5 separate regions of the Mus musculus genome follow, and all the other regions are reported to be linked to region 1. Evidence: microRNA targets listed by miRTarBase, many of them from high-throughput screens and not tested one by one. Region 1 holds a microRNA gene; each other region holds the end of a gene's coding sequence.

Region 1 (4,697 bases):
GACACGAATCTCATATTTATCTCATATTTATTGTCTAGGCTCCTGAGCAACTGGGACTGCAGGTATACACTGCAGCTCCTGGTTTTGGTTGGTCTTTCTGCTGTCCAGTAAAAAGCAAGCAAAAACTACCGCTCTCTATAGGCTAAATGCCCAACCTGGGCTTCTGCTTTCTAATGTGTAAAGTTGGGAAAGAAGGCATGGTTTACACTAAATGTTTTCTAGGACAACGAACACTCAAAGCATTATATAGTCAACCTTCTAACCACATCTTCTGATGGGTTCCATCTGCAAAAGGTCCTCTTTTCTTTTTTTCTTTTTTCTTTTTTTTTTTTTTTTTTTTTTTTTTTTTTTTTTTGGTTTTTTTCGAGACGACAGGGCTTCTCTGTATAGCCCTGGCTGTCCTGGAACTCACTTTGTAGACCAGGCTGGCCTCGAACTCAGAAATCTGCCTGTCTCTGCCTCCCGAGTGCTGGGAATAAAGGCGTGCGCCACCACTGTCCGGCTGTCCTCTTTTCAAATTATCCCTGCTATTTGTTTTCTGCATCTTGATTACACTCAGGATTTCTACCCTATCAGACAGAGTCTCTCAACAGCCCTAGCCACAGAGAGTATTTACGTGCAGTCTCTGTGGTTGTACTCCTTTTGGGGGCACGTTTGAAGATCTCAAGTTGGGATGCATTACTTACAGACCAGTTGAGGGAAGACTGCTGGCTGATACCTTCAGACAATGAATTAGGGGCCAGGTGAATTTCACTAGCCTGCCAGCTTCTTGCTGTGTTAAGGACCCTTTTAATGATGGCCCAGGAGAAAGTTGGGGGACAGAGTTATGGCTCTATCAGGAAAGGGATTCTTTGCCCTTTCCCCTCTACCTGCTCACCTAGGGTTTTCTGGAAGAAAGGTGTGATAAAACTTCCTTCTCCTCCCCCTTCAGCTTTCTGCTGGCAAAAGTGACTTCTTCCTTCTCACAGGACTCCTGATCCCATCGGTTCACCACTCATGAGATAAGAATCCTTATCGCAGAACCACCCATTTTCTCGCCACCTTAGGCAGCGATACCTCGACTAGGAAGACAGGAGAGTCTCTGAGGAGGATGTTCAGACACTCCGCGGATCTTGCTTCTGCACCGAGGTAGATGCACAGCAGCCTGAAAGGCCGCCTTTCTGAGCACACCTCTTGCCACCTCCGCAGACACATCGAATGTTGCGTCGCCGCCCCGCCTCCTCTTGCTCTGTATCTGCCCAAACCCAGGCTGGCAGAACTCGGGAGTGGTGGGGAGCGTGGGCGTGCTGCGGGGCGACCATGGCTGTAGACTGTTACCTCCGGTTCCCACAGTAACAATCGAAAGCCACGGTTGCCCTGGAGACGCGGGGGCGGGGCTTGCAGGCTGACGTCAGCACCGCGGGCGGCGGGGGTGGCGCGAGTGTCTGCGGGGCCTGCGCCCACCGCAACCCACAGGGACCTTGAACAGGCGTGCCCGAGGGAGGCGCTTGCACTGCATCAGCACCGCGGACAGCGGCGCAGGGAGGCGTGGAGGGGCCGGGGGTCGGCGGTCCTGGGGCGGGGCCAGGCGTCGGTGGCCGTGACTGGAGACTGTTACTGAAGGCGGCCCGGGCAGTAAGCAGTCTAGAGCCAAGGTGCCGGCGCGCTGCCCGGGCGGGGATATCCCGTCGCCCGCAGTTGAGAGTGCTGCTGCTTCTCAGGCCCCCCCACCTCCTCCCAAGCGCGCGCGGACAGACACGCGACCGTGACGTCAGAGTCCTGTGACGTCAAAGATGTCCCAGCGGGGAGGCATTTCCGGCGGTGGGGAGCGGTGGGGGTAGGGCGGGGCGGCCTGATCGAAGCCCCGCCCCCGCCTGGTCCTGAGAGGACAGCTCCGCTTGCAGAGGCGGGAAGTCCTGAGCTCAGTGGGACAGTCCGATGGGACGGGACGGGACCGGACGGGAAGGGACGGGACAGGGAAGGGGCGTGTGTGGAGCATGCAGGACGGGGGTCCCAAGAAAGCCGCAGGGCCGAGGTGTGCGTCTGTCTGTCGTGGGCGCCCTGGCTCAGTCAGTCGGGGCCATCTAGGCTGAGTCACCGCTCTGCGGACAGGGGAGAAATGAGGGGGCGCGTCTCCTGAGACGCCAGCACCTTCTCCCCACTTTCTTGAAAGGATGGCGCAGGAGCTGCTCAGCCTCGGGAAATGGGGTCGGGGGCTCGGCTCTCCGCTTGATGTTTCTCCATAGTGTCTGCGTCTGCATTTGGGTGCCGGCAGGTGCTGCATAGGGTTGGGTCAGCCGCCGGCCCCTGGTCCACCAAGCTGAAAGGAACCTTCGTCCCTCCCACTCTGCCCCCCATCCTCACTCCGGAGTCCCCCTCCAACCCGCCGCCCCTCCGGTCCCCTCCTCGCCTTCCCATGGCGTCCGCGCATCTGCCCATCTCCGACTGTTGGTGGTCCTTACCTGTCGGGCCGCGTCGCACCAGTGCCGGCTTGCCTCCCGCAGCCCGGCCGGCGCCGCCGCTTTTATAGGCGCGCGTAGTACTCGTGCGGCGGCTCATTCATGCGGCCGCGGCTCCTACACACTGACGCGCTGCCGACGTCAGCAGAGAATTTAGGAAACGGGAAAAGAGGCTATTTATAGTGGCAAGCGGGGAGGGGGGGCGTAGGGGAGGGCGGGACGAAGCGACAGGGAGTTGGAGCGGGAGGAGGGTGCGCACGCGGAAGCAGGGTTGGGTAGGGGAGTACGTAACCCCAGGCTTGGCCTCCAAGGGGTTAACTTTCCGGAACTGCAGGCGACGGGCTGGGGGAGAATAGTGCAGGGAGGGTGAGGCCCCGTTCTGTGTTTATTCACTCTCCCCTTCCGGGGCTTTGCGAGTCCTAGGATCTCAGTTCTTTTCTCCTGGACCGCAGGGGTCCTCCCTTGGCAGCCCCAAACCACACTGCTCATTCCCTAGACCCTACAGTCCTCTGACGCCAGAAGATGCCCCGCGATGGTATCACTCCCATTTGGCCACCGTGGTATCCTCGCTCTCTCCTGGTGTGTGTGTGGGGGGGGGGTGGGGGGTGAGGCAAGAAACTGGACCGGTTTAGGAGGGGAGTAGAGTGCACCTCGGACTTTGACATCTAGGAGCTGGGGAAAGAGGGGTGGAGAAGCCTGGGAGTTTTGGAAGGCTTCTTGACTGGGTCACAGGAGGAAAGGTACCGGTCAGATGGTGGAAACCGCAGAGAAGATCAGGGAGTCTAAGGAGAGTGGTCTGGACTTTAGAAATGAGCAGAAGATCTTCTGTAAGAGTTTGGAAAATCCCTGTACGGAGTATCCACAAAAGGAAGGGCTAGCCTGACAAGTACTGGAGAGCCAACTTGGCAGTGCCCCAGGGGGCACGAGGGGGCCACCTCAGTGGGGTGGAATAGGCATAGGCAGAGCCTGTAAGAGAGAAAATGAGACTAAGGGGGCTCAATAGCTTGGCAGAGGGTGTGTGTAGCTGGGACTCCTTTCTAAAGGAGTCAGAATAGACTAAAGGCAAATACGATATGGAACAGGTCCTCCAAAACAGCCCGATTCTGTCTCCGGGCTCTAAATGGGGTCGTCATGCGTTCACGGAGAGGAGGAAGCTGCACCAGGATGACCAGAGGAGCTCAGGAAGAAGGGGAAAGCAAAGTTAAGAGGAGGGGCATGGTGGTGCGCATCCTTGTACGTGGGAAGTAGACGCCTTTGTGAGTTCGAGGCTAGCCGTAGACTTGAAACTGTGGTGGTGGTGGTGGTGGGGCGTGGAGGAGAGGAGAGGAGAGAAGGGGAGGGGAGGGGAGGGGAGTACACAGTGAAACTTGGGCAAGGTTTATGTGGTTGGCCCCATAGCGATACAACAAGGGCTTGAGTCGGTGGAGAGGGATAGAACAAGAAGGAACTGAAGACCCAGCCGACCTCCTTATGGGTCAACCAGCGGATAAACTCCATTGTGTAAAACACATACAGAGCTTTCTCTCCAGACTCGCACGATCTAACCCCATTAAAAGGAGAAAACATTTAAAACAGAGACATCAGAGACACCCTTGCTTGTGGGAGAACTCAGAGTTGTCAAAACTCATCCCTAAGAGCACTTCTGGGGAGCCTTCTTATCCTCAAACGCTCCGTTACACTTCCGCTTCAGCCCCAAGGCGTATCCCTCGACAGAGATACCAAGGTACCTCTTCACTTCTCCTAGAGCTCAGAAATTGTGGAGTCCACCGTGGGACTGCAGTGTTTGTCTTGTATGGACACTGTACGGAGATACGAAGTAGTAAGTGGATTAGATGGAGGCGGAGCACACTGTCGCGGAAACCTGGTGAGCCTTGAAGACTCTTTGGACCAGAAGCCTAGGCCAGGCATAGAAGTCTCCTGCCAAAGAAACGCAGCCTCTAGGAGGCGCCCAAGACCTTGGTGTCTCACTGGTACAGCTAGAGGCCCGGCCGGCTGCCCCGGGCGAGTGACTCAGCCACTACCTCAAGCGGGGGAGTGGGGGCTCGAAGACAGCGTGGGGTGCGGCGAGCGTAGCCCCCACCCGCCCTGCGCCCCGCGCGGTTGCTAAGCTCTCCAAGGCCTCTGAGAGATGAGATCCCGGGAACCTCATTGGTTACCATAGTAACTCTGAGCCCCAGCCTCTCCGGCTTGGCCACGGAGGATGGCGCAGCCAATAAGAAGCTGTGGGCGGTTTGGGGGGACCCCCCCTATAGCGTGGGC
Region 2 (4,000 bases), not on the chromosome of region 1:
AGCCCCTATTCTTGATTTATGGTTTTATTGATAACTTAAAAAAGAAAACATTAAATATCATCTTTTCCTTTTCTGATAGTAGGAGTTGAAATCGGTGTGCTTCCCTCCAGTACTGAGCTGAGTTGCACTCTCAACCCAGAAGGAAAACAAACTTCAGAGTACAGAGACCATGGCAAAAACATATTCAGTACACAAAACCCAGATGCTTTGATATCTATATTTTGCTTTATTCGACTCCAGTCTTACAAAGTCTCATAATTCTGTTTCCTCTCTGGCAGGAACTGAACCTGGGTCCTTGTGCATGTGTTTCTTCCAGCAGATCCAAGTCTTGCTACTCCTGACCCTATGGCTGGTGTCTGAGCATACTGATGAGTTAGTTCAACAAGGCCATTCAGGTCAGTCTAAACTATGCCTGAAAGCACACCACTAGGCCAGTGGCTTTGGAAGTACCAACCAATTACAAATGGGAGGCCTGTAGAAGCTGGCTGGACATTCGTAATTTATAAATACACATATGTATTTACTACATTTTAGCTTTAATCCCAGCACTCTGGAAGCTCTGAGTTTGAGGCCAGCCTAGTTTACAGAGGGAGTTCTAGGACAGCCAGGACTACACAGAAAAACCCTGTCTGGAAAAACAAAAACAAACAAAACAAAGCAAGAGCTATCCCTTAGCCAGACATGGTAGCACATGTGTGGAATCCTACCACTCACTCAGGAATGTCAACTGAATGAGATCAATATAGACTACAGCCTTGGGTCTACACATGGTGAGACTCAAAAACAAAAATAAAACACGGGCACTAATAGCTTGATTTACTTGGGATACAATCTGTCACTTTGAGTTTGTGGGCTTTTGTTTTTAAGTTTTGTTTGTTTGTTTGTTTTGGGGCAATCTAGCCCTGACTGGCCTGGAGAATATAAATTGAATTGGTTTTGAGCCTTCATGTATCAGGTTATTCTCAATCACTCTGTAGACCTTTTGACCATTTCTGTCTGGTTCTGCTTCTCCAGATAGGATATCAGGTAACCAAACGTTGGTTCTGAATTTGCTACGCAGCTGCTAATACTGGGATTACAGGTGAACTCTACCACACCTGACTTATTTTTCTGAAACTTTGTAAAAGGTTAGCAATAGCCTATAGCACATGTACTTTGGTCATGACACTTGGAGCCAAAGTTCTCAACTATTTCACAAGTGTACTTTGTAAGCTTGGCAAATCAACACCACAAGCTTGCTAGTTATTGTAGACTACATCATATTATCAGAACTTTGTCTTAGACGTTAAAATTGAGGGGGAAATGTCAACAAAAAGCAAAAACTACTCCTTTGAAAGAATTTTCTTTTTTCCAAATGTGTTTAACTATGAAAAAGACATCTTTTGAGATGGAGGCTGCTGAGACAAGCATCACTAGGTAGCCCAGGCTAGTCTCAGAATGGCAATCTTGTCTCCAGTGGTGAATCTGAGCAACCATCTTGGGTAAAAATGTATCGTATAGCTCTTAAAATTCCTTGAACCAATGAAGTAAGAAATAAACCATAGTTTTATATGGCTTTTTGATAATTCTATGTGTCTGTTTTCTTTCAGTTTGATTCAGTATTTGTCCTTATAAAGGAAGCCTGAAACATTCAAGTCCAAGGAGTGTGACAGTAGTATGAAACATGAGTCAGACATGGTAAAAGCATACTAGCAATAAGCTTGCTGGTCACTCTTTATAGTCCAGGCTGGTTCAGAACTCATATTCCTCTCACCTTTGTCTTCTATGCACTAGGGTACAGGTGCACACTCAGATGCACAGCTTAATCTAGCTCCTTTCTAAACTGAAACATTCCTGACTTACTTTAAAACTACGGAAAACATTTGAGACATGTATGAATGTGGTCAGAAGAGATTTCAGATTAAACCTATTTACAAAACAAGATGTGAGCATCCTGGTTTGTTTTGAGATGGGCTCTTGCTGTCTAGTCCATGCTGGCCCTGAAAGCCACCTGTTCCTTAGTGTTTTGAATTAAGGGCAAGTGCCACCAAGACCCCCTTAAAATATTTGTTTTGTTTCGTGAGAAAGGGTCTTTCCCATGTAGCCCAGGCTGGCTTGCAACTCTGTGGTCTCCAACTGTAGTTCCTTCTGTCTCATCCTTGCTATTACTGGATTATAAATCTGAATTATTCCCAACTTAAAATTATAGTGGAATTTAAGTTTGTTGCTAACTTGCTGCCTCCCGGGTTCATAGGATGATAACTGATTCTTCATATATCAATTATCTTATAGGAAAGGCAACTGCCTAAAAACTAACCGATCAAAACCATTTCCTTTTATTCAGCCGACTCCACAGGTAGCCATCCAGCCGCAGCCGCAGCAGTAGCCCACTCTTCTCTTGAGCTTTTTCTAACATGAACACATAATGAGGATCCACTACATGTCACTCTAACCCAGGCTGGCCTCAAACTCACAGCACTACTCCTGCTCAGTTTCCTGAGTGTTGAGATTGCAGGCATGAGCCATTTATGCCTGACAGATACACATATTTGAACAGAAGAAACATTCAACTTTTTGTTGTGTGTGGTGCTGGGTATTCAATTCCTACATTCCAAGAACATACTCTACCACTGAGCCACACCCCAACTCAAGTTTAAATTTTTGCAACAAATTTTCTGTCAATTGTATTTTAACTAAGCAACTTAACTCTATTCCACTGAGTAAGTAGCAGAGGGACACCAGGAGAGCCTTTTCCATTTTCAGAGCTCTACCACAAAAGCAATTTCTAATTCCCTTCAACTCGGTCCTTTCACGGTCTTTCTTTTATGTTCCTTTGATTGCTACTCAGGCTCCTGACAGCAAGAAGCTTCTAGAAACACAACAGCTTTCATCACACAAAGAAGGGCATCATGGGAAGGCAACAGAGAATGGGTGCATTTTTACAGAGCAATATAAAATTACATCGAGGTGGAGCTGAAGTCAAGTCAGCAGCCTTGCTCACCTGCAAGGAAGCCTGCGGAAGAGTGCGTGCAGCTTACCGTGAAACTGTAGAATTTCAAGCACAAGTTAAGTTCAAACACTGAGAGAGAGATTCCCTAAGAGACAATATTGAAGGAAGACCTTTCTTGCCTCATAAGTTAAAAATCACAAAACAAATCAGACTGTTCACATGGGCAGTACTGTACATTACCAATTCCAAATGGATCACAGGACTCTTACCACAGACACCCCCCACCCCGCCCCAAACACCAGAGAGCACGCTAATCCAAAGGAACCAACCACAAAAATGCTTCCCGTTGTCTGTTCGTTACACAACTATCTATGGCTATCAATTCAGCCGGGCCTGGGGCTGCTTTTTACAGGGAGGGGGCCTTCCATGGCGCACAATGTGTTTCTCTAAACTGTCCAGAATGGCCACAGCAATCTGCTGGACATAGGGATCTGTCTGCTCGTGTTCTTTGATGTTATACAAATGCTGCAGTCCTCCTTCTTCAATCAGCATGCTGCAATACCTTGAAGCTAAAAGAAAAGAAAAATGTCTTAATGTTATTCCACAAACAAAACAAGTCTTCAGAGCTTAAAACAAAACTGCAAAAACACATCAAAGGCCATGCATGGTAGTGCATGAAGCAAATCCACACAGTAAGACCCTGCCTCCACAAAACAAAACAAACAACCCTTGAACCAGGTGTCTCTCATCATCTCCACTTTATTCCCTTGAATTCAGGAATCTTTTTAAAAAGGTGTTTTATATATGTATGTCTGTGTACCCCTTGCATACCAGAGCCCAGAAAAGGGTATCAAATCCCCTGGAACTGGATTTTTAGATGGTTAATCCTGAATTCGAATCCTAGAACCCACATATAAAAGCATGGCCATGTGTATCTGTAACCCAGCATTATGGGACAGAGAAACAAAGGTCTAGGAAGTCCTTGGACAGGAAACTTCTGGTTCAGTGGGAGTAAGGCATAAGGCAGTGGAGGAAGACTCCACTGGGCATCGACTGTGCCCACAAAGCCAT
Region 3 (4,000 bases), not on the chromosome of region 1:
GCCTCACTTGGTACCATCCACCATGGGGCAAGAGTCCCTCAGTAGAAGTGCTAGCTAGCCCCATGTCTTTGAACTATACTGTGAGCTAAATACACTTCTTTTCTGATAAAGTACCCTGTTCTTGGGTATTTTAAGAAACAGATTAATACTGCTCTATAATGCCACTATATACAGAAGCCCAGACTTGTTACCATATAGTAGAAAATTATGATTGTTACTGGTTCATTGTTTTGGGTATTTTGCGTGCGCTCATGCAAGAAGCTACCAGAGGGCACTGGATTCCCTGGGTCTGGAGTCACTGATGTGAGTTGCCCCGAGGGTGCTGGGAGTGGCCAGTGCTCTTACCCACTGAGTAACCTCTCTAGTCCCTTGTGCCCTAAGACCAAGATCTTGGCATGTGGCCCAAACTGGCCTTGATTTTGAGATCCTCCTGGCTCAGCCTCCAATCGTCTGAATAACAAAGATCGCCATGCCCAAGCTGAATGTTTTGTTAAAGTTATACTTTTAACGACTTGTGCATGTATGTACGGGTGTACAGGAGCCGCAGCATGCGTAGAGATCAGACATTTTGTGAGTTGCTTTTCTCCACCCTGGGGTTCTCTGGGATGGAACTCAGGTCATTAGGCCTGGTGGCAGGTGAATTTAATTACCTCCTGAGCTATCTTGCCAGCACCATTAACATTTTTTGACTTCTTTTTTGCTTTTTTTTTTAATGTGTATGTTCTGTCTGCATGTATGTTTGTGTACCACATGCATGTCTGGTGCCTGAAGAGTTCAGAAGAAGCATCAAATCGCAGGATTTTTAACTGGACACAAAGCCAAGGGTGAGCCTGGTCTTTCTGATCCTCTTAGCTCTCTCTCCAGTGTTGGAACGCTGGCGCGCACCACAGGCCTCATTACCACCACCACCCCCTTTTTTTTCTTCAGTGTTGGGTTGAATCAAGGGTTTCATGAATGCTAGCCAAAGTTCATACTTGTTCTTAATGGCATAAAGCTTAACCAAGGCTCACTCTTTAGACGTCAATCTTTCAATGGATTTGGTATGTATTATACTTTCTGCTGACAAGAAGCTGTGAGGCCTCGGGGAGATGATACCTGTGAATGTGTGGCATCTTATCTCTGTTCCTACCTGCACCCAGAGGAAGCGCAGAGAGGAGCTACAGAAAGCCTTGAGAGTTCTTGACCTCTCTCATCTGCCTCACCTTTGTATGAATCGCAAAACAGGATGCTTCTGTCTTCAGTCTTTCTTCTCCCACATAATCTCCCAGGGAAAGAAGTACTGAGAAACAGAAGTGGAGGGTCGGGTGGGTGTACAAGAAATGGGTTCATCTGGGACTGTGACGGGTCTTCACCAAACCGAAACACAGGGACTTCGGTAACCGAAGCTCAGCCCAGCTGCTGCTGCTTCTGTCTGTTAAGGTCAGAACTGTGACCTAGGCTACAAGGCTGTTCTAAGTCTTCAGTGGCCTTGTGGCCAAGCAGAACTGAGCACACTTTCAACCCCAGCTCTTGGGGGCTAGGCAGGAGGATCTCTAAGTCTGAGGCTAGCCTGGTCTACATAACAAGTTCTAGGTAAGCCCTGGGCTGGAGAGATGGCTCAGCAGTCCAGAGCACCGACTGTTCTTCCAAAGGTCCTGATTCAATTCCCAGCAACCACATTACAACCATCTGTAATGAGAGCTGATGCCCTCTTCTGGCGTGTCTGAATATACTCATATAAATTAAATAAAATCTTTAAAAAATAAAATTAAAAAAAAATTTTTAAAGGCCCCAAGGTGGACGTGAAGAAGCTGTAAAGGGTGAATTTAGCAAATGCCCTCGCAAGCTGGGAGGTGGTGGCTCCCACCCTTAAATCCAGCACTCAAGGCAGAGGCAGGTGGATCTGAGTCTAAGGTTGGTCTGGTCTACAGAGTGAGTTCCAGGACGGCCAGGGCTACACAGAGAAACCCTGTCCTAGAAAACCAAACCAAACAAAACAAAAAGAGTAATGTCTGATCTCTCTGTTTCTACATTTAATGCTGAAAGATGAATGTGACATTTAAAGTCACACATAGCCTATGGGGTTTACAGACTCAGAGCCTAGAGAGCAAAAAAGTAAAGAAGAATATGAAGGCCCTGTGCCCGATAAGCCGTGTGCCCCTGGGGCACACATGGCAATGACAGTGGGCAGCTATGATTCAGTTCTAGCCTGCTGTATTGTCTACTGTACTGCCAGGTAGGAACGCAGGTCAAGTGCTGTAACTGATTAACTGATTCCCTAAGAAGACAGTTAGAGTATGAGTGTGTGCGTTTGTGTGTTCAGGAGTGCCTGTGTGTGTGTGTGTGTGTGTGTGTGTGTGTGGTGGGCAAGCAAAGAGCTCTACAAATGAGTCGCACCCCTAGACAAAAGCTTTTAGCTATTAAGCATGAACTTTATTATAACAAGGATGATTATTTCTGGTTGGGATTAAAGCAAAAACCAAAAAGCTTCACTACCTGCACACGCGCGTTTGGAGTGTCGGTGCTTAAAGTGAAACTGATGGTCTGTGTTCCCATCGAGTGCGAGCCTCAGACCTCTGCTAACACACACCTTAAAATGCTTAAATTCCTCAGGACACTCAGCGGTACACATACGGGCGGCCCTTAGAGACAGGGTGAGGACAGTGTGTGGAGTGTCAGCGCGTAGAGTGGGAAGAAAGGGCAGGTGGACAGACACCAACGGAACAACAGCCACAGACACACTTGATGTAGAGACAAAGGGGGAAAGTTGGTAAAGTACCTGCTGTCCAGGAAGACCTGAGTTTGGGTCCCCAGCACTGTGTAAAATCTGGGCGTAGCAGCTGATCTGGGACCACAGTGTTGGGGCGCGAGGCCAGGAGGATCCTTGAACTTACTGGCTGGCTAGCTCAGTCACACACTGAACTCCATGTTCAGAGAGAGACTGGAGACACCTGATGCCAACCCGTGGCCCCCACAAGCAGAAGCAGGCAGGCACTCGCGCACGCACACACACACACACACACACACACACACACACACACACACACACACACACTGTGGTAGAGACTGGAGACACCTGATGCCAACCCGTGGCCCCCACAAGCAGAAGCAGGCAGGCACGCGCGCGCGCACACACACACACACACACACACACACACACACTGTGGTAAAGCAGCGCTTCAAGAGTTATTTTGGGGAAGTTCATCGTCAGAAAGGTCCCTTTCTCATTTGTTACCCAAATAGAACAAAGACCTAACTCACCTGAAAGGCATTTGTAAAAATCTATCAAGTTTTATAACCTTAAAATCTTACCCAAACTGGCACGTTTGGGTTCACATAAATACATATCGATACACTTTAAACCCCAGAAGTGCAGACACAAGCCTGAGGGACTGCACAGCTGCCACAGGCCCACTGCCTCCGAAGGGTCTCTGACCCATACGCAACTGTCAGCTTTTACCCTGAGTCCGTGAGGAGAACTTCTCCTTTGTTCAAAAACCTTTGAACAAGCTCACCTCCGAACTAAGGGATTTGCTAACAGGCACTTGGCCCGAAAGGGCTTAGAGAAAGTGTTCTTAAGGTCTCCTGGGCTGTTAGTCATCTGGACACCACTGAGTCAGCATCCACGGTGTTCAGAAGATAGAGTTCAGGCTGAGCGGTCAGTCCCAGGCGGTACTGAGGGAGGACAAAAGCACAGGGAGACAGTTAGTGTCACTAGCAAGGAATTACACTGTGGACGTACACATTATTTTGGCCTCTTTGCTCAGTACAATTGAATTTTATTTCAGAATAGAAAATGGTGTTATGTGAGGTTCTTATTTAAGATCATGGACACTTTTTAGATTTTTATTTTAGGTACATCAGTGTATGTAGTGTGCACACGTCTGCTGCCCACAGGGGTCAGAGGGAGGCACTGGATCCCCTGGGATTGGACCTAGAGAGGGCGTGTGGAGGTCAGCCACACAGCAGCCAAGCAACCCTGAGGTAGAGAGAGCACTCTAGAGAAAGGCTGCAGCCTGGA
Region 4 (4,000 bases), not on the chromosome of region 1:
GACTGGATTTCCTGTCTTCGTGTTATGCAAAACAAGCGACCACCAGCCCTTAGAGGTCAGACCGTGGGTGCCTGTCAGGACGGAAGAGCCAGGTTTCTTTCCTACAACAGTGGAATAGCTCAGGTTGGCTCTGGCTTCCGAAACAATGGGAGGCAAGGCTTCTCCCACAGTGAAGCCCGACCGCAGCCCCCTTCAGAGATGCTTTCTTTCTTTTTTCTTTTGGTTTTTTGAAACAGAGTTTCTCTGTTATAGTCCTGGCTGTCCTGGAACTCACTTTGTAGTGAACTCAGAAATTCGCCTGCCTCTGCCTCCCAAGTGCTGGGATTAAATAAAGGCGTGTGCCACCACTGCCCAGCTTCAGAGATGCTAAAGGAACACTTTGGTAAGGCTCCAAACCTTACCAGCCCATGCGGCAGAATCTCTCTTTGACAGCCTCTCTAATGTGTACTCCCCAAATGGCAAGCAGGACTTTGAGTGCAAAGCCCCAGAAGGCATGAAAAGAAACCTAAACTAGAGTTGGTTGTCAAGGAAAGCAGCTGCCTTCTGCAAACAGTGTAAGGCTGACTGTGGTCTGCCATGAGATTACGGGATCATGGGAGAAAACATCGTGCCCCACACGTTCTTACAAAAGGGGGGCTCTGCAGGGGAGGTGTAAACGTTTGTCCCTCTGTGTAAGTAAGCCTGGAGAGACTCAGAGACAAATAGCAGGACACCATCCCACAGACCCATCTGCGAAGCTCAGTTTTTCCGCCACAGGGACCCTGTGCAACTCTGGGTGAGCTGCAGAGGTGTTTTCACCTGCAGGTCCCCTCAGAGTAGAGCCCAGAGACAATGTGCTGAGGTGGGTGCTCATCTGAGAAACTGGCCCTTGAAGACAGGCACGAACTAAAGGAGAGGTCTTGCTGGATAGTTAACAAGAAGCTGGCATCTGAGTTCAGCCTGACCTTTGACCTTTGGAGCTCCTGAAGTAGCAGGACCTTATTTTTATGCTCATAGTAAAAACAAGTGGAAAATGTGTAACAGTGAGATTGTAGGCAGGGATGACCAAGAAATTCCAGCATGCTAAGGCATGCTAAGTCATCCGGCATGGGTCTTGTCAAGCTTAAGAGGGCTCACTGAAAGCCCAGACTACAGCCACCAAGTCCCGTCTCCCGCTCCTGTACATGGAAAAGTCCACAAGCATGGGTGAAGGATGGGGCGCTACCCACCCAGGACGTGACGCTACCAACACACAGCTACACATCAGACTCCCAGATCTCCAGAGCCTGTCACAGAGGTTCTTCAGTAAAATGTCACCTGGCCAGGGCTGCTCCTTTTAGCCTCAATGGGGCCACATGACCTTGGGTCAGCACACTGCAAACCAGTCTGGAGAAATACCAAGGCAGCGGCAAACCAGAAGGATGGGGCTCTGGGGCTGGGGACACTCGTCAGGGAAGGTGAGGCTGAGAGTCTGCCTTTAATAAAGTGGAAACAAGCTAAGTTTATTAGTGCTAAGTTTAGCACTAATAAAATTGAAGGCTATTATATATTTAAATCTCCCTTAATAGATTTCCATATAACTTTGATAAACACAACACCAACACACACACACACACACACACACACACACACACACAGCATGCTGTTTAACCAGGAACATCCAACTGAAACAGACAAAAGCTGATAGGACATTTTCGCAGGTTTGGTGAACAGGGAAGTGGTCTCTACTTACAATGACAAATTCAACATTCTCATGTCAGAAACCACAACCACAGTCTTCCTCACTGGAGATAAACCTCAGAATGTACCTACATCTCTAAAGTCAATCGCCATGACCCAACAGGTCCGGGAGTAACCGGCTGGCAAGGTCATGCTACTCAGCTTTCACTATGGTCTTCTCCTGGCTCCAAGCTACTAAGGACTACAGCGAGGTCTGGGCGTCCACCAGGAGCCCTCTTGGGCCTGGGAACATTGAGATGCTTAGCCCAGGGATGCTCTGACACTCCCCTGGACAGCTACCAGGAGGGCTTCAGTGAGCTCAGGCGCTCGCTTGCTCTAGCAGACCCTTATGATGCCTGCACCAGGGAGGAGGGCTAACAAGGCTGGGTGGGGCTTAGGGCTCTGGGTTCCTTTTCTCTTTTGTGCAGCTTGAAGGAGGAGGTAAGCAGCTTGCTGAGATTGAAATTAAAAACAGAAGAAAATGGGAGCTGAGGGTGCAGAGCCTTTCAACCCCGGGTATGTGAAGCCACACTGAGACAAACCAGCTGGCATAAACAGCCAGCCTCCCCTCCCCAAGGCAGGAGAAGAGTTCAGGCTGGCTCAGTCCACAGTGCCTTTTAAAAAACCATTTACAGAAAATAGGAATCAAGCCACTTAAGACGTGTAGTCTCTGGGACAAACTGTGTGACCTGGGCAAAGTATTTAACCTCTGTGGTTCCCGGCTTGCTCATCTGTCAGTCAGTACACTCACTCAACTGCCCTTGGTACGTCCGACCTGGTGAAGTTTTACAAAACTCTTTCACACTCTTCTGTGCATCTGACTCTTACAGTAGCTCTATGGACTGGTAGGACCACTAATCCCACTGTATAAACAGAGAGAGAGAAAGAGAGACAGACAGACAGACAGACACTCAGGAGCTGACTGGACCTTCAGGGCCTCACTATGTAGCCTCGCCACCTGCAAGTGCTGGGACTATAGGTGTGTCCCAACTGCCCAAGTCCATTGCTTTTGACATCACAGCACCAGCTGGTTCTAAACTCTTCCCACAATCTCTCGTGTCCTTTCTGCAAAGGGTCTCTGCTATCAACGAGGTAGTGATCTAAGAACATGCCATTAACACTTTCCTAGCGCAAAACACTACTTTCCTAGGGGGTGAAGAACCATCACACAAGAGATTAAACCAGCGCTAGATGTGAGCCTTTTTAAGAAACTCCTCGGGCTGGTGTGTTTCCCTGTGACCTTTGACCTTCCTCCCCTTTCCTTCTCTTATCCACCCACACACAGAGGGTAGGAGAACCTGCCTCATAGTGACAACAGAGGACATAAAGAGTGAGCTTTTTGAATATTTGGGTGTTCTTTTTATTACTGACAGCTGTGAGCCCTGTCTTGTTTACAGGTAAAACTCTGATGAACCGGCTGGGAGTCCTGACTGCTGCATGCGCTGTCAGGATAGGAGTCACCCCCCCCATTCCCCCGCCCCCCCCCCGCCCCGCCCACCGGCGATGCTTTCCCATTGCATTGTGGCGCACTAACCTGCTTTGCCCATTTCCCCTTTCCTCAGTGATCCTTCAGCCTGGTACCCAGCTTTGAGATGAGGCCTGCTTAGCACCAGTGAAGTTCCCCACATTCAAACCAACAACGTTCTGTGTGGAGATGAGGGAGTCAAAGTTAAAATCCAACCCGTCAGCATCCATGAGTTCACTACGGATGATGGACTCCATGTCACATTCCAAGCTCCCATTGAACATGTCCAGGTCCAAGTCACTGGGGAACTTATCGTGGCCCATGACGGGAAGGTTTGCACTAGCTGAATACAGTGAGGAGCCTGAGAGAGAGTCCGAGAGGGTTTGCATAGACTGGCTGGCGGGAGACTGCTGCTGGTGTTTGGCTGAGCCAAGGCTGCTGGAGTCACTCAAGCCCATGTTGCTGACAGAATTTGACAAGGCACGGCTGCCACCAAGAGCGCCCTGGGTTTGGTGCTGGTGGTGGAGCAAGTTCTGATTGACCAAACTCCCCTGGGTAGGCTGGGCAGCAAAGGACATCATTGGATCGTTGCGAAGCATCACGTTCCGGCGGGCATTCTGGGCGGACACGGCGGTGCTAGCCTGAGACATCAAGGGGTCCGACTGGGTCATCATGACGTCGCTGTGGCTGAGTGAGTCTGAAGCAAGCAGGTCTTGGAGTGTCTGGTTGCCGTAGTGTGACACGGAAGAGAAGGTGGCTGGTCTGTTCTCCTGGATAGTCTGCATGGGTGACTGACGCAAGGAGTTCAGAGACGAAGGTCCAAACACGGTACTGTTG
Region 5 (4,000 bases), not on the chromosome of region 1:
CAAGAGTAGGAAGGAACACAACCCGTTGGGCGGAGTTTGGGACTCCCCACCCCCACCCCCCGCCCCCAAAACCAATTAGGACCCTGCTGCTTCTCCAGCTTGCTTTGTACCCCTTTAATGAGTGGCACACCGGGCAGTTTGCAATGAGTCTGAGTCTAGACACCAAACATCAGTGGTCAGACTTTAAAGAGATACTTTGGCCTGAAGGTTACTTCATGTTGTCTTTCCCAAAAGAGTCTTTGAGCTCAGCCCCAACTGATTTAGAGCCGGGAAATGTGATTTTAAACAATACATTTGCTGTAAAGTTCAGGTGATGTTTGCTTTCTTTATACGTGGGGATGTTTTTCAGATTTCCCACAAAAAGATAAAAAAAAACCATATATTCATTATAATTTGCAGGAAAACCTAAAATAGAATATAAAAAGTATGGCGATAAAATGAGAGGCCTTTTTTCCTGTTTGTACACATGGGTTTGTGAGAGAATATTCAGCGTTTTCCTCAGACCCTTACAGATCAGCTGGATGCTTCTGTTGAGGGCAAAGACCATTTCCTGCAAGGAGCAGAGGGAGGGAGCAGAACTTTATCTGGTGGACCCACACCTAAGGAAGTCCTTTGGCAGGTTAGAGGAGAGAGGGGCATCCTAGAGGATGCACTTGGCATATCCTCCAGGGTCTTAACTCTTCTAAAACAAGTTAAATTAAAAGGGGAGGTGGTGAGTTGCCCAAGGCAACCATGAGCCCGCACAGGTACCAGAACCTTGATTGTTAATGCTGCTTTCGGACCTGCTACTGAAAGAACATCCATAGATCTTGGAGTATATCTATCTATGGGAACTATAAAATTGAGCAATGGCTGGAAACCAGGCACTGAATAAAACATAAGGTGGTCGACTTTATTACCTCAGATATGCAAAGTCTGGCTAGGTAATTAGACAAATTCCCATCTCCATGAATAGCTCTCACGGCCTTCTCAGACATGGAGGTGAGACCTGAATTTTTTTTTTTTTTTAACAGTCTTCAGTTGTACAAAGGACAATTGCACAGAAGGTGTTGTCGTCACGCTGAGACTAAGGAGAGAGCTGGGACAAATGAAAGAAGCAGGAGAGGTTTAGGTCAGAGGTTTAGGTCGGGCATCCACAAGAGCGTGCCCCGCACCCCAGGCTTGTCAGTTAGTCCATTTGCATGGATTGCTAGGAATGAGGCTGAAGCTAAGCGTTCAATCCAGTCAGAGTGTGGGAAACAACAGAGACAGGAGCCGAGATCATGCCAATTTAGAAATAATAGCTCATAAATGAGAAATGAGATAACCTTGGAACTTAACTAACTTGAAATGACCTGCAACCAGGAGAGAAGAGTAGGCTTTATTCAAGATGGCAGGATAGGAGAGTTGGGAATAGTTCCTTGTGAGGAGTCTTTAAATAATTCTTTCCATTGTTTCATGAACATTCCATTCAGAAAGTTATAATTGTCTCATATAACTTGTCAAAAGTCCTTCTCTCACTGAATCCAGTCTTACTAGTAACAGTACATTAGCTACCAGCTTAGTGCAGCATAGTAAGGGGTGGGGGTGGGGTACCAAGAATATGGTCGACAGCAACTAGTGGAATTGAAATGAAGACCAATCATAGACTTTGGAGATCTCTTCCATCCCAGAATTCTTTCACTTTTGATACATAAATATAGGAGAAAATTCCAAGAGCTGTTTCTTTGCAGATTTTAGGTTGAACTATGTGAAATTGCTGGTTTTAAAAATATAGATCAAAACAGTCAAATATCAGCCATTTCATAGAATTCAACCTAATACAACAATTGTCCATGCTCTCTCCATCTTCCATAAAGTGAAAGGCTTTAAAAGTATTTAGTTTTTAGGCCAGAATATTAATGTACAAATAAGTGCCTCCCCAAGGCTGGGATTAAAGCCACTTGCAGGCAGCTAGTCTGTCCCTCTTAAGATTGGACACCTGTGCCTCTGGTCTGACTCGGAGATCTGTCAGAACAGGGAACAAAAGTGCAAAGACTCCTGGGAAATTTCATTGGGGGTGGGGGGAAGGGTCAAAGGAAGGACAGGAGGAAATAAAACAGGATTTGTAGCATATTACAAGTTCGTGGGAAAAGAGCGCAGCAGAGCCATGAGCAGAACAACACAGCGTGTGGCTCCCTCTTTTCTAAAATACAGTATTGCTTAATGTGTCCCGTTCTCGAGAGTCCAAGCATAAGACAGGACACAGAATACACATTGGAAAAGTCATATCTGCATAGTCATCTAAAATGAGACAAGCTAAGCTTAACTAAAACATCTTTTTTCATTAATAATGTAAAATGTTAAATAGTTTTATGATCTGAGCTAATTCCAGCATGCCCTATAAGATTTAACACTATGCTGATGTGTGGACCCATGCTTCAGGTTTCAATTCAAACAAAATGTGATAATATTGAATTTTACATCTGAGGGTAATTGTTTATGCTACTACATCATTTCTTAACCGGATAACTTCATTTCCCAAGAAGCTTAAAAAGACACCATTGGATTAAAAGAAAGTTAGCTACCCATATGCATTGTTTGAAGATAGTAGGATTACTGTGTATTTACAAAATGTATTTTTCATATATGACTCTGTTGCATTATAAATTAAGATGTTCTGATGTTGATACTTAGCGATTCTGACAGAATGGAAGACTAAATGGAAATGAGTGCAGAGACAGCAACGCGTGAGGTGGCGTGTGTTTGGTTATAATATTTCTAATGATACTCATAGATTGGATTCTTGAACAGTTTTGCTGTTTTAAATAGATTTCTATATTTAGAGACATCTTTTATATCCGATAAATCGTTAACATGATATCAGCAAGAGTTACAGATATACTATTATATGTGAAATAATTTTCTGTATAATACATTTTTAAAAAACCTTTAAATAATTTAAAAATCAAATTTCTTGCATCTGTCACGGCATGGTTCAGAGCAGACATGCACAATGTCAACTTTTTAAAACTCCCTTTAAAAACAGGCTGCACCTCTTTGAATCTGTTCTTTCTTTCTTCCTTCCTTCCTTCCTTCCTTCCTTCCTTTCTTTCTTTCTTTCTTTCTTTCTTTCTTTCTTTCTTTCTTTCTTTCTTTCTTTCTTTCTTTCTTTCTCTTTTCCTTGATGGCAGCTGCTTTCAAGTGTGAAATCATTTAAAATGGCAGGGAGAGGCAGATAAAAGTAACAAGGGAGCATAGAAAACATGGTCAAAACCGGTCTCGGTGTTCCGCGGTGTGGAGGTCTTACGGTTCTGTGGTGTTTCTCAGGTGATCTTGGCGGTGAGTTTCCGGGGAAGCCACCTAGCTTGAGACAAGACAACATAAGCCGAAGAACCTTCTCTTCCGTCTTCTGACCATGGGGTAGGGCGTTAGATTCAGAAGGCTGCTGTCATCTGTGGTGGGACACAGTGTGCACAGGAGTGAGTTACAGACAAAGTAACCTGCTCGTTATGAAGTGGGCTTAAAACGCCATCATCCTGTCTGTCCCATTTTAAACCTCAGCTACACTGGACTAGATAATGCTGTGTTGTGGGAGGCTATCTCAAGCATCAGAAGACTTCATTAACCGTTTGTTGTTAGAAGAAACCCCCTCCCCCAGTACCCCCTTCTACCCCAATGAAGGACTTCATCAGTGTCCCTGGCCTTCACTAGGTACAACCAGAGGCATTCCCAGATCTTTCCAAATGTGGCCTGGGACAAAACACTCCAAGACTGACAGTCACTAGCTAATTAAATTGAAACTGCTCAAGACAGCCTTTCAGTTGGGAGAGGTTGCAAACATCTTCATAGAAACAATCCACTTCCCAGGAGACTTGTCTTGTCTTCTAAGCCCTCCTTCTGTGACCCTCATCTGTCACTCAACCTCACTAAACTCTGATGCCCCTAAGTGAACATTCAAAACTAATAGGGAATGATGATGCTTACCATAAGTGAAGATGAAATGAAATACTTAAAAGCAGCTCACTCTGATGGCAGCCGA

The links. The annotated mature microRNA mmu-miR-132-3p reads UAACAGUCUACAGCCAUGGUCG and lies in region 1 at 1,295-1,316, opposite strand. An mRNA with a match to its seed (bases 2 to 7 or 8) in the 3' UTR can be bound and repressed. Matches are read on the target gene's strand: a 7mer-m8 pairs with bases 2 to 8, a 7mer-A1 pairs with bases 2 to 7 and ends in A, and an 8mer does both.
Region 2: the mRNA of Zyg11b is a reported target of mmu-miR-132-3p. The part of its 3' UTR that is shown has no 7-base or 8-base seed match.
Region 3: miRTarBase lists Slc11a2 as a target of mmu-miR-132-3p. The part of its 3' UTR that is shown has no 7-base or 8-base seed match.
Region 4: the mRNA of Foxo3 is a reported target of mmu-miR-132-3p. The part of its 3' UTR that is shown has no 7-base or 8-base seed match.
Region 5: miRTarBase lists Rgs7bp as a target of mmu-miR-132-3p. Seed matches in the 3' UTR shown: 7mer-m8 at 1,762-1,768, 7mer-A1 at 1,519-1,525 and 8mer at 1,008-1,015.

What each region holds. Positions count from the first base shown.
Region 1 is chr11:75,170,342-75,175,038 of GRCm38, reverse strand. Mir132 (microRNA 132) reads right to left here and starts at 1,357; the gene lies at 1,292-1,357. Mir212 (microRNA 212) reads right to left here and starts at 1,651; the gene lies at 1,561-1,651.
Region 2 is chr4:108,232,697-108,236,696 of GRCm38, forward strand. It overlaps Zyg11b (zyg-ll family member B, cell cycle regulator), which reads right to left. Exons shown (of 14, transcript NM_001033634.3): 14 at 1-3,498. The coding sequence ends at 3,308. Among named protein-coding and RNA genes, the nearest start is that of Zyg11a, 17 kb to the left of the region's middle.
Region 3 is chr15:100,385,508-100,389,507 of GRCm38, forward strand. It overlaps Slc11a2 (solute carrier family 11 (proton-coupled divalent metal ion transporters), member 2), which reads right to left. Exons shown (of 17, transcript NM_008732.2): 17 at 2,391-3,654. The coding sequence ends at 3,577. Among named protein-coding and RNA genes, the nearest start is that of Higd1c, 23 kb to the left of the region's middle.
Region 4 is chr10:42,193,234-42,197,233 of GRCm38, forward strand. Foxo3 (forkhead box O3) reads right to left here. Exons shown (of 4, transcript NM_001376967.1): 3 at 3,233-4,000. The coding sequence ends at 3,268. Among named protein-coding and RNA genes, the nearest start is that of Gm38485, 80 kb to the right of the region's middle.
Region 5 is chr13:104,948,170-104,952,169 of GRCm38, forward strand. It overlaps Rgs7bp (regulator of G-protein signalling 7 binding protein), which reads right to left. Exons shown (of 6, transcript NM_029879.2): 6 at 1-3,413. The coding sequence ends at 3,322. Among named protein-coding and RNA genes, the nearest start is that of Gm41048, 35 kb to the left of the region's middle.